Cricetulus griseus: one gene and its partner. The main gene of each other region encodes a partner of the protein of the gene in region 2 in a complex. Links are inferred from orthologs where the notes say so. Each region holds a gene or a part of one and is shown on either strand. Other genes may lie near its edges. The genes, in order: Cplane2 and Fuz.

Region 1 (4,299 bases), on a different chromosome or scaffold from region 2:
TGCACAGCCATGGATAACCCTGACTGTGCTGATTCTCAGCACTGTGGAGGCACCGGGAGCATGAGCAACGGATTCCAGCCACAGAGCCCTGTACAAATGCTTTCCTCCCGTCCTTCTGCCCCATGCAGTGTAGGCCGGTGAGGGAAGCACCCGCTCTTGCGCCCTTCTCCCTTCCCTACCCGCTTCCTGCTGCCAGCTTCACTAGCCCCTCCTAGGTGCTAGGGGTGAAGTGGTGAAAACCCAAAACCCAATCTGGCTGAATGGATACGTGTTTTTAGAGTCAGGTAACTTACCCAGGCTTCTGAGTCTGTTTTTCCACTGACTGGCTGTGAGGCGGGTGTAACCTCAGACAAGTCATGTCATCCCTCTGAGTTTCTTCATCTGTAATAGAAAAGCCATGACGCTGTTTATATGGAGACGAGTGCTGTAGACCCCAGTGCCGCAGCCCCCACAGAGCGCCCACCCCTCCTCCATTGCGCGGCAGTGGCTGGCCCCACTTGAAGACACTGTGCAGGATGCCGGTGAAGATTAAATGTAATAGCCACCTCTCAGAGGTGGCCCCACGTCCTGTCCCGCTCACAGGCATTTACTGAGCAGCCACCTTCTGGGTTGCTCACAGGCCCAGGCTGGAGCATCCAGTCCCAGGGCAGGACTGTGGCTCACCCTGGCAGGCACAGCACCAGCTAGATGCTGAGCACACAGCTGGGGGTTGGTCACTGCTGCAGAAAAGGAATGAATAAATCAATTAGTAAACAGATGACTCTCTATTCAGACCTCTTAGAAAGTTCCTTGACTTCTGCATCCAGAAGTGTTTGATGCTGGCCAGGCCTGAGCAGGATTGCTGGGGCCGTGACATTAATAACATCAACATAATAACCAAACCGGCTGAGCTGTGTTGGCCAGACACTGTTGTAAAGAATGCTATGAGGCGTGGTGGTGCACACACCTTTAATGCCAGCACTAGAGAGGCAGCCGCAGGAGGGTCTCTGTGAGTTCGAGGCCAGCCTGGTCTACATAGGATGATTCAGTCCAGCCAGGGATACATAGTGAGACCATCTCCAAAAAAAAAAAGGGGGGGGGAGCATTTAATGTTAAAGTCCACTTTGCAGAAGAGGAAACTGAGGTACAGAGAACCGAGGAAGCCTCCTTCCTGCCCCCGGGAGGGCGGGGGAGGTGATCATGTTGAGAGGAAAATCTGAGGTCAGACTGGTAAAACCGAAGGAGCTCCAGCTGAGGGAAGGAACTGCAGACCTTGCAGAACCCACAAAAGACCGGCCTGAATTCGGGAGCCCCGCCTCCCCCTGCGTCGCCATGGCAGCGCCCTGCACATGCGCCTGGCGGACCGCGCGGCTAGGCCTGGCGGACGCAGGCTCTGCGGGCAGGGCGAGACCACAGGGCGGGCTTTTAAAGGGATCCTCCCTGGTCCAGCCGGCCGGGTCGCTGGAAGTGTGGAGGTCGGTGGTCCCGGGAGTGGGAGTCTAGGAGGCAGAGGTGAAACGGGGCTGAGACTCTCGGGAGGTGCTAGGGCAGAAGAGGCTTGTGGAAATACCTTCCCAGGACAAGGATGGGCTGTTTGCGCAGAGAGCGAGCGTTGTGGAGGAGCGGGGCTATGGAAATGCACCTTTGGGTGAGGAGCCAGGCTCCAAGGGAGAGCCAGAGAGAGATTAAGAGGAACCCCCGGGCGGGCTTGGGGTAATGGTTACCCCTCTCTCCACTCCTACTCCCAGTATTCTGCCCCATCCCAACCTCACTGCGTGTTCAGCCATGGCCAGACCTCCCGTGCACGGTTCGGTGATTGTCCCAGACTGGCATGAGACGGTCGAGGGCAAGGAGTACTTAGCCTGCATCCTGCGCAAGAGTCGCCGGCGGGAGTTTGGTAAGTGCCTCCCTCACCGCGAACGCTTGACACGCCCTCCCTGGGGTGGCAGAAACAGGACAGTGGGACCTGCGCCACAGCAGTCTCTAGGGCCGCCTCACCCACATGTTCTTAGAGGACCTTTGTGAAGGGCCTGGAGCCTGGAGCATGGAAACGGCCCATCCCTGCCAACAGCAGCTGTCACCAGAGATGCTGTTGACTGGGCCCTCCTCACCTGGGGTCATGCCCTCTGCTGGGCACTTTGCACAGTGGCCTTCTGTGCAACCTGTTTTTAGACATGGTTTCACTATGTAGCCAGAACTCGTTATGTAGATCAGACTGGCCTTGAACTCAGAGAGCTCCACCTGCCTCTGTCTTCCCAGTGCTGGGATTAAAGTCAGGCTTGCAACCATTCAACCTTCTTCTCCCCTCCCTCTCTTTCTCCTTCTCCCAACCCCTTTCTGTTGTTGTTTTTGTCTTTTTCTCTATGTAGCCCCTGGCTGTCCTGAAACTCTCTGTAGACCAGGCTGGCCTCGAACTCAGAGATCTGCCTGCCTCTGCGTCTGAGTGCTGGGATTAGGCATGTGCCACCTAAGGGGCTCACTAAGGGGAGCCCCTTTAGTGTCTTCCTGCCTAGGGTAAGACATCGGTGTCCCAGGATTAAGCAGATTACCCAAGCAAGGCCCCAGTTAACAGGCCAAGAGGCATGGCGTCTGCTTTGGGTTCAGGCCAAGGCTACTGGCCTGAACAAATTCAGGGATTGCCTGGACAACACTGAAAGATTCTATCTCATGAGGGCTGGGTATCACCCTGCATGCAAGGGCTGTTCTGTCCCTGGTGCCACAAAGAACAGAATAGAGACTAGCTCGAAACTTAGGACTTCAAGTCATTAGACTACGCAATATCATCATTTTTGACTTTTTATGTGCAAGGTTTTTTTTTTGTTTGTTTGTTTGTTTGTTTTTCGAGACAGGGTTTCTCTGTGCAACTTTGGAGCCTATCCTGGCACTTGCTCTGGAGACCAGGCTGGCCTTGAACTCACAGAGAACTGCCTGCCTCTGCCTCCCGAGTGCTGGGATTAAAGGCATGTGCCACCACCGCCCGGCTATGTGCAACTTTTTAATTATTAAGTATTCTTTGTGTGTCTGTGTGTGATACTGACATGTGTATCTGTGCACACATGCATGCAGTGTCCTCAGTCAGAAGTCAGAAGAGGAGAGCAGAGAGATCCCCTGAGACTGGAACCCCTGTCTTCTGGAAGAGCAGCTGGTGCTCTTAACCACTGAGCCATCTCTCCAACCCCTCTGTGAAAGTTTTAAGAACTCATAAAGACATCAATGATTTGGTTTTATGGGATTTATTTCTAGTAGCTGTAAATACTGTTGCTTATATTTCCCTATTAAAGAAGAAACTGTAAAACACCACGTTTTGTGTATGAGGAATCCAGATTGAATAGTTAACTGTATCAATAGACAATATTTCAAAGTCTGGCAGTGGTAGAGCACGCCTTTAATCCCAGCACTCGGGAGGCAGAGGCAGGTGGATCTCTGTGAGTTCGAGGCCAGCCTGCTCTACAAAGAGAGTTCCAGGACAGGAACTCTAGCTACACAGAGAAACCCTGTGTCAAAAACAAACAAACAAAAATTCAAACATCAAGCTTAAAAGTGGCCTGGAGGAGCTGGAGAGAGAGCAGTTAAGAGCACCAGCTGCTTTTCCAAATGGCCTAGGCTGAGTTCCCAGCATCCAGTGGTAGATCACAATACCTCCTTCTGGCCTTGTAGGCACCAGGCATGCACATGGTATACATACATACATGTAGGTACTCATCAAAATAAATACAAAAGTTCAAACAAAATAACAACAAGAAGAACTTGGTGTTTGGGGGCCAGTGACATGGCTCAACTAGCACAAGCTTTACGGCCTGGATTGGATCCCCAGAAGCCTGATAAGGTGGGAGGAGAAAACCAGCTTCTCAAAGGTCCTCAGACCCTGGGAGAGATACCCGGTATCTAAAGCTAACTAGCCAGCTTGGTTCTCAGCCTTCGGCTCAGCTCTACAGAGGCCCAGAATAGACAGAGACCGGTTGCCAAGGATCTCACAGTTCATTTGCTTCACATGTGTAATGTGTCCTTCACATGTGTAATGTGACATGGACATACTCCCACATGATAATATACAGAATAATAAATGCTTAATACAAATCTCACATTGGCCATCGCTTACACATGTGAAGTTTGAGCTAGAATCGTTTGTCACTGATGATGGTAGTGACGACAATTTGTAAATAACTCACTTAAAAATAAAAAGTATAGCCTGGAGGTGGAGGTGCACACCTTTAGTCTCAACACTCAGGAGACAGAGACAGGTATACCAATGTGAGTTCTAGGACAGTCAGGGCTACAGAGTGAGTTCTAGGACATCCAGGGCTGCCTAGAGAAACCCTG
Region 2 (4,522 bases):
GACTAGGGAAAGGCACTCTCAGGCCATGGGGAGCTGACAGGGCGAATGGGCCACTCCACCCTGAGCCCCACCACGGAGACTTACCCGAGAATGTCGCTGTGTAGCGGGAAACCTTCAGGCAGTACCCTAGGGCCCAGAGGCAGACAGGCCCGGAGGGGCTCCAGCAGCGGCTGCCACCAGCGTTCCAACAACTGCAGAGGGCAGCGTGGTTCGTGTGAGGTCAGGGCCGGGGCTGGGGAGCGGAGCTTGGGTGGCTAGGAACCGCAGCAGGTGGCTGGGGACTACAGCAGGAGGGGGTGACAGCAGCCTCACCTGTGGGTCCAGCTGGCTGAGGGGCGGGCGCGGCCCGCACAGCAGACACAGCTCCAGGCCCCGCAGGAGCGTGAGGGTCAACAGCCGATGCGGGACCTGCAGCAGGGTGCAGGGGGCTAAGTAGGCCCCCGGCCCCGCCCACCAGAGGTCCCGCCCCTTCCCCCTCCCACTCACCGTGGGGCTCCCGTGAGGCAGGTACACGGGGTAGTCACGGGCAGCCTGTGGTGGCAGGGACCCCACCAGCCAGGGGAGCAGCACGGCTTCAGGCATGCCCAGGCGCCACCAGCCCTCGGTGGCTGCCACCACTCGGCCTGATACCAGCAGGCTGACGAAGGCCGTGCCAGTGGCCTCCGCGAACCCTGACAGGGTTTCCTGTGAGGGGGTCACACTAGGAGTCATAAAGCAAGGAAAGACCTCTCCACCTGGGCCTGGAGTGGAAGAGCAGCCACAGTACCAAGGGGGACACTCCAGTATTTTAGGCTACCAAGCTGCCCTGTCACACCTTCTCTGTGAACAGGAATGCTTTAACTTCCCTTTCAGGCAGCATTCTCAATTCACTGTGCATCACTTTTGATTTGTTGTTTTTTAATCTTCAGTAATGAGACTGTAACCCAAAGCTTTGGGCATGGGAGCTAAGCAGCTCTACTGCCAAGCCACATTGAATTTTGAGTCAAGTGTTGCTGAGTTGCACAGGCTGATCTTAAACTTTGTATGGTATGGCAGGATGGCAGGCCCTGTAAAGCCAATGCTTTAAACAACCGCATGTACAGTTTACTGTCTATAGAAGCTCTGGGAGAGGTCAGAACACACTGCTGGGGGCGGCGCAGAACTAGGGATTTGCCCAGATAAGGCAGAGCTCCCTTCAAGATTTGGACCTGCAAAGTGTTAGGCTGTTTGAGACCCTCGAGGAACTTAAAGCTGATTTATGGATGTCACACAGGTTGGTGAGCACCAGAGGGCACAGGCCTCACAGGCCTTGGGACACTAGGCAAAGGGGAGGGAGCTTGTCCTAGGGGAAGTGATCAGGGTGGACTCTGGTGAAGAAAGTTCTTTTCCAAAGAGTTCCAGGTACTTATTCCAGAATGGGAAGAGGATGCTGGGGTGATGTCTAGAGATGGGACACACTTATTTCTATAGCTGCCCCAATACCTGCATGAAGGACCCCTCTGGAGGAATGACACAGTCCACACACTGGGTCAGGTCTCCGATGAGCTCAGAGTTCCCCAGGAAGCTGTCGATGAGACAGTAGCTGGCCTAGCAGAGGGAAAGGGAAAAGCCTAGGTCCAGGACAGTCCAGAGAAGGCTGGGGCCAGCTCCGGGGTGGGACACCAAGTTCCCCAAGCACCTATGGGCCCATGCTGTCCCAGGGCCTACTGGTAATTATAGTTCCAGACAAACAGGCAAGCTTTAGGGAATCCTAACTGCACTCATGCACCACAGCCTCACCCTCAACTCTTTCTTCAGTCTCTCTACATTCCGGATATTGGTCAGCTCCTCAAGTCCCACAATGAGAACCTAGAAGAGTCACACAGGAAAGTGGGACCCTTAACACAGGAGAAGAGATTCTAATCAAAGATGACAGTACTTGGATGGGAGTGAGAGAGGAGGACCCCACCTGGAACCCTGTGTATGAGAGAGGCCCCTGGGTGTGTGAGAGGAGGGCTGAGGTTTGGATGCCTGAGTGTGAGGGGGAAAAAATGCAGGGGGTTAGACTGAGGGAAAGGGGCTGGGAGTGCAGAGCTCTTGAGTTTGGGAACAAGACAGCCCAGTCTCACCATGGCCCCAAACACCATGTGCAGCATTCTTTCCAGCCTCAGCTCAGAGGTGCCCTCCTCGGATGACAGAGCAATGAGGGTGATGCTGTGGGGTGAAAGGAGAGACGCAAGAATAAGATGAGCGGGGGAAACGGGGCCAAACACAGTGGTGTCTGTCAGCTATTCCAACACTGCAGGCTACATCCTGACTCGACTGGGAAAATCAGGGATCAGAGAGGGTGAGTAACTTATCCAAGATCCCACGAGCCAGTTACAGCTGACCAGACTGTGGGATCATCTAAGACAGGGACCTCTGAATAGGTTTTGTTCTATTCCTTGCTCCCGCCAGGGACCTGTCATGGAAGCTCTTCCACACCACGGTTGTGTCTTCCGTTCTTGCAGAGTTCAGTTGCACGTCCAGATTCTGCCCAAACATATGGACTCCATTGAGGGAGCCGATGACAGAAAAGGGAAGCTGAGGAGAGGGGACGCATTGTAGTAACTCCGAAGAGTAACCTCCCCACGCTGACCCTGGTGTCCCACTCTGCAGCCTCCTCCTTATTCCCCCAAAGTTCTTTAGAGCCCCCTTCTCAGCCAAAGGCCCCCAGCCTCTACTCCCTGCGAGATACACAGTCCCAGCTCCCCAAACCCCTTCTCGTTAGGTCGGGAGTCCAGCGCCCCACCTGTTGTCGGGAGGGGGCGCCGCCGCAGCTGCTCCTGCAGAACAGGGGGACCCCGCTGGAGGCAGCGAGGCACAGCAGGTGAACCGTGCTTCCTGCCCCCTCATCCCCCATCTGGAAGCCCGCAACCCAGAAAGTCACCCCCTGGGGACTTTCGGTGTGAGTCTGGGAGCATGCGGGTAGTCAAAGTCGGCCTGCTGTCCGGAGCCGCCAGAGAGGGAGAAGCAGATGGCCAAATTCCCGCCTTCCTCAACTCAACCCTGCAACCGGATTAGAATCTCTTCCGCCCCAACCGGAAGTCATCATGACCCTAATAAAGATGGCGACAAGTAGTGTTTGCCCAGCTTTCAAATTGCTACCGGATAGCTTCACATCCTTTGTATAACTAGAATGAAGATGCTAGCTTGAAGATGATGATGGTGCCAAGGTGTTGACTAGCAACCTTACTGTGTGCTATACTAATTTACATGATAGTTTTTTAAAAAGCTGATTGAAGATGACGACAGTATTGCCTGACAATAACCTTTTTTCACTCCATAGTGGTAAATACCTTGCCTGCCCCACTCAAAGATGGCGGTATACTCAGGCATTGCCTAGCAACCACTATTCAGAATAATTTCCATTCTGAAACTATTATCAGCTGTGCCACCATCCCCCTCTCACTTTTTCAGAGTGGTTTGATCCGGGCAGCGTTGCTTAGTAACCACCATATGAGGTGGTTGTTTTTGTTATTAGAAAAAGGTAAAAGAAAAGAAAACCTTTCCAAAAATCATAAAAAAAAAACCACCACATTATTTCTGTAATGAATTCATGCTTATGATGGTGTATCATGTAGAACGTCAAAGTGCTGAAAACTTCAATCCATGAAACAATAGAAGTTAGCACCAAGTACTAACTAGGACAGATGTTCACAAATATGATCATTGTACTATCATTTCCATAGTTTTCCTCATCAAGAGGATGGCTGAGGGCCAGTGAGATGGCTCAGTGTATCGGATCACACAGCTATGGAGACCTGTCTAGCGTTCAGTCCCCAGACTCTTTGTGGCAGGAGGGAACCCACTCCACAAAATCGACCTTGATATACATGCCATGGCACACTTGATATATAACAGGTGCTACTTTTTTTTTTTTTCTTTTTTGGTTTTTCAAGACAGGGTTTCTCTGTGTGGCTTTGGAGCCTATCCTGGCACTCACTCTGGAGACCAGGCTGGCCTCAAACTCACAGAGATCCACCTGCCTCTGCCTCCCAAGTGCTGGGATTAAAGGCATGCACCACCAACCCCCGGCCAGGTGCTACTTTTTTAACATTAAAAATAGTGTGTGTACAGCTTTATACCTTTATTTTCTATTTTCTGAGAGCATTTCAGGCTCTAGGTCAGGGTGGCCTGGAACTCACTACAGTTTTCCAGCCTTCTATCACAAATGTGGTTGCTGTCATTCTCTCTCTTCTTTCCTTTTTGTTTTTGTTTGTTTCTTTGTGTTAGTGTTTTTGAAACAGGGCCTCATGTAGCCCATGCATACCTGGAAATTGCTATGTAGCCAGAACTGGCCTTGGACTTCTCATCCTCTCTACAACAGAGCCTAGGCCCTCTATGTCTTTTTGTAATCCATTTTTATGAATTCAAGGAATTGAAAAACCTTCCTTTGACAAATACGAGATTTCTTCTGATGTGTTTCATAGATTGATATATATATATATATATATATATATATATATATATATATATTTGAGACAAAATCCCCCTGTGTGACAAGAGCTGGCCTTGAATCCGT

The links.
Region 1: the proteins of Fuz (region 2) and Cplane2 are in contact, whole or in part, in a cryo-EM structure (PDB 7Q3E), measured with the Mus musculus proteins. The link is inferred for Cricetulus griseus from reciprocal best matches to the Homo sapiens genes FUZ and CPLANE2. Residues at the interface, in NP_081652.2 of Mus musculus: Arg26, Arg35, Ile109, Val110, Lys126, Glu127, Arg129, Ala130, Tyr132, Cys133, Asp136, Gln215, Ala216, Ala217, Arg218, Asp219, Tyr220, Pro221, Tyr223, Pro232, Leu238, Thr239, Leu240, Leu241, Arg242, Pro255, Leu256, Gly257, Gln258, Pro261; in NP_001074643.1 of Mus musculus: Glu36, Gly38, Leu39, Leu40, Glu41, Arg42, Val83, His84, His85, Glu86, Thr88, Gly89, Ile90, Gln91, Thr92, Thr93, Val94, Lys124, Phe125, Met128, Glu134.

What each region holds. Positions count from the first base shown.
Region 1 is NC_048595.1:12,028,336-12,032,634, reverse strand, and holds the start of Cplane2 (ciliogenesis and planar polarity effector 2), read left to right. Parts: upstream 1-1,310; 5' UTR 1,311-1,311; coding exon 1,312-1,454; intron 1,455-1,727; coding exon 1,728-1,876; intron 1,877-4,299. UniProt on the Homo sapiens protein: Required for efficient primary cilia initiation, regulating a late step in cilia initiation. Plays a role in the final maturation of the mother centriole and ciliary vesicle that allows extension of the ciliary axoneme.
Region 2 is NC_048599.1:153,731,263-153,735,784, reverse strand, and holds the start of Fuz (protein fuzzy homolog), read right to left. Parts: upstream 3,029-4,522; 5' UTR 2,861-3,028; coding exon 2,750-2,860; intron 2,542-2,749; coding exon 2,420-2,541; intron 2,173-2,419; coding exon 2,088-2,172; intron 1,828-2,087; coding exon 1,759-1,827; intron 1,567-1,758; coding exon 1,462-1,566; intron 685-1,461; coding exon 487-684; intron 409-486; coding exon 313-408; intron 192-312; coding exon 85-191; intron 3-84; coding exon 1-2. UniProt on the Homo sapiens protein: Probable planar cell polarity effector involved in cilium biogenesis. May regulate protein and membrane transport to the cilium.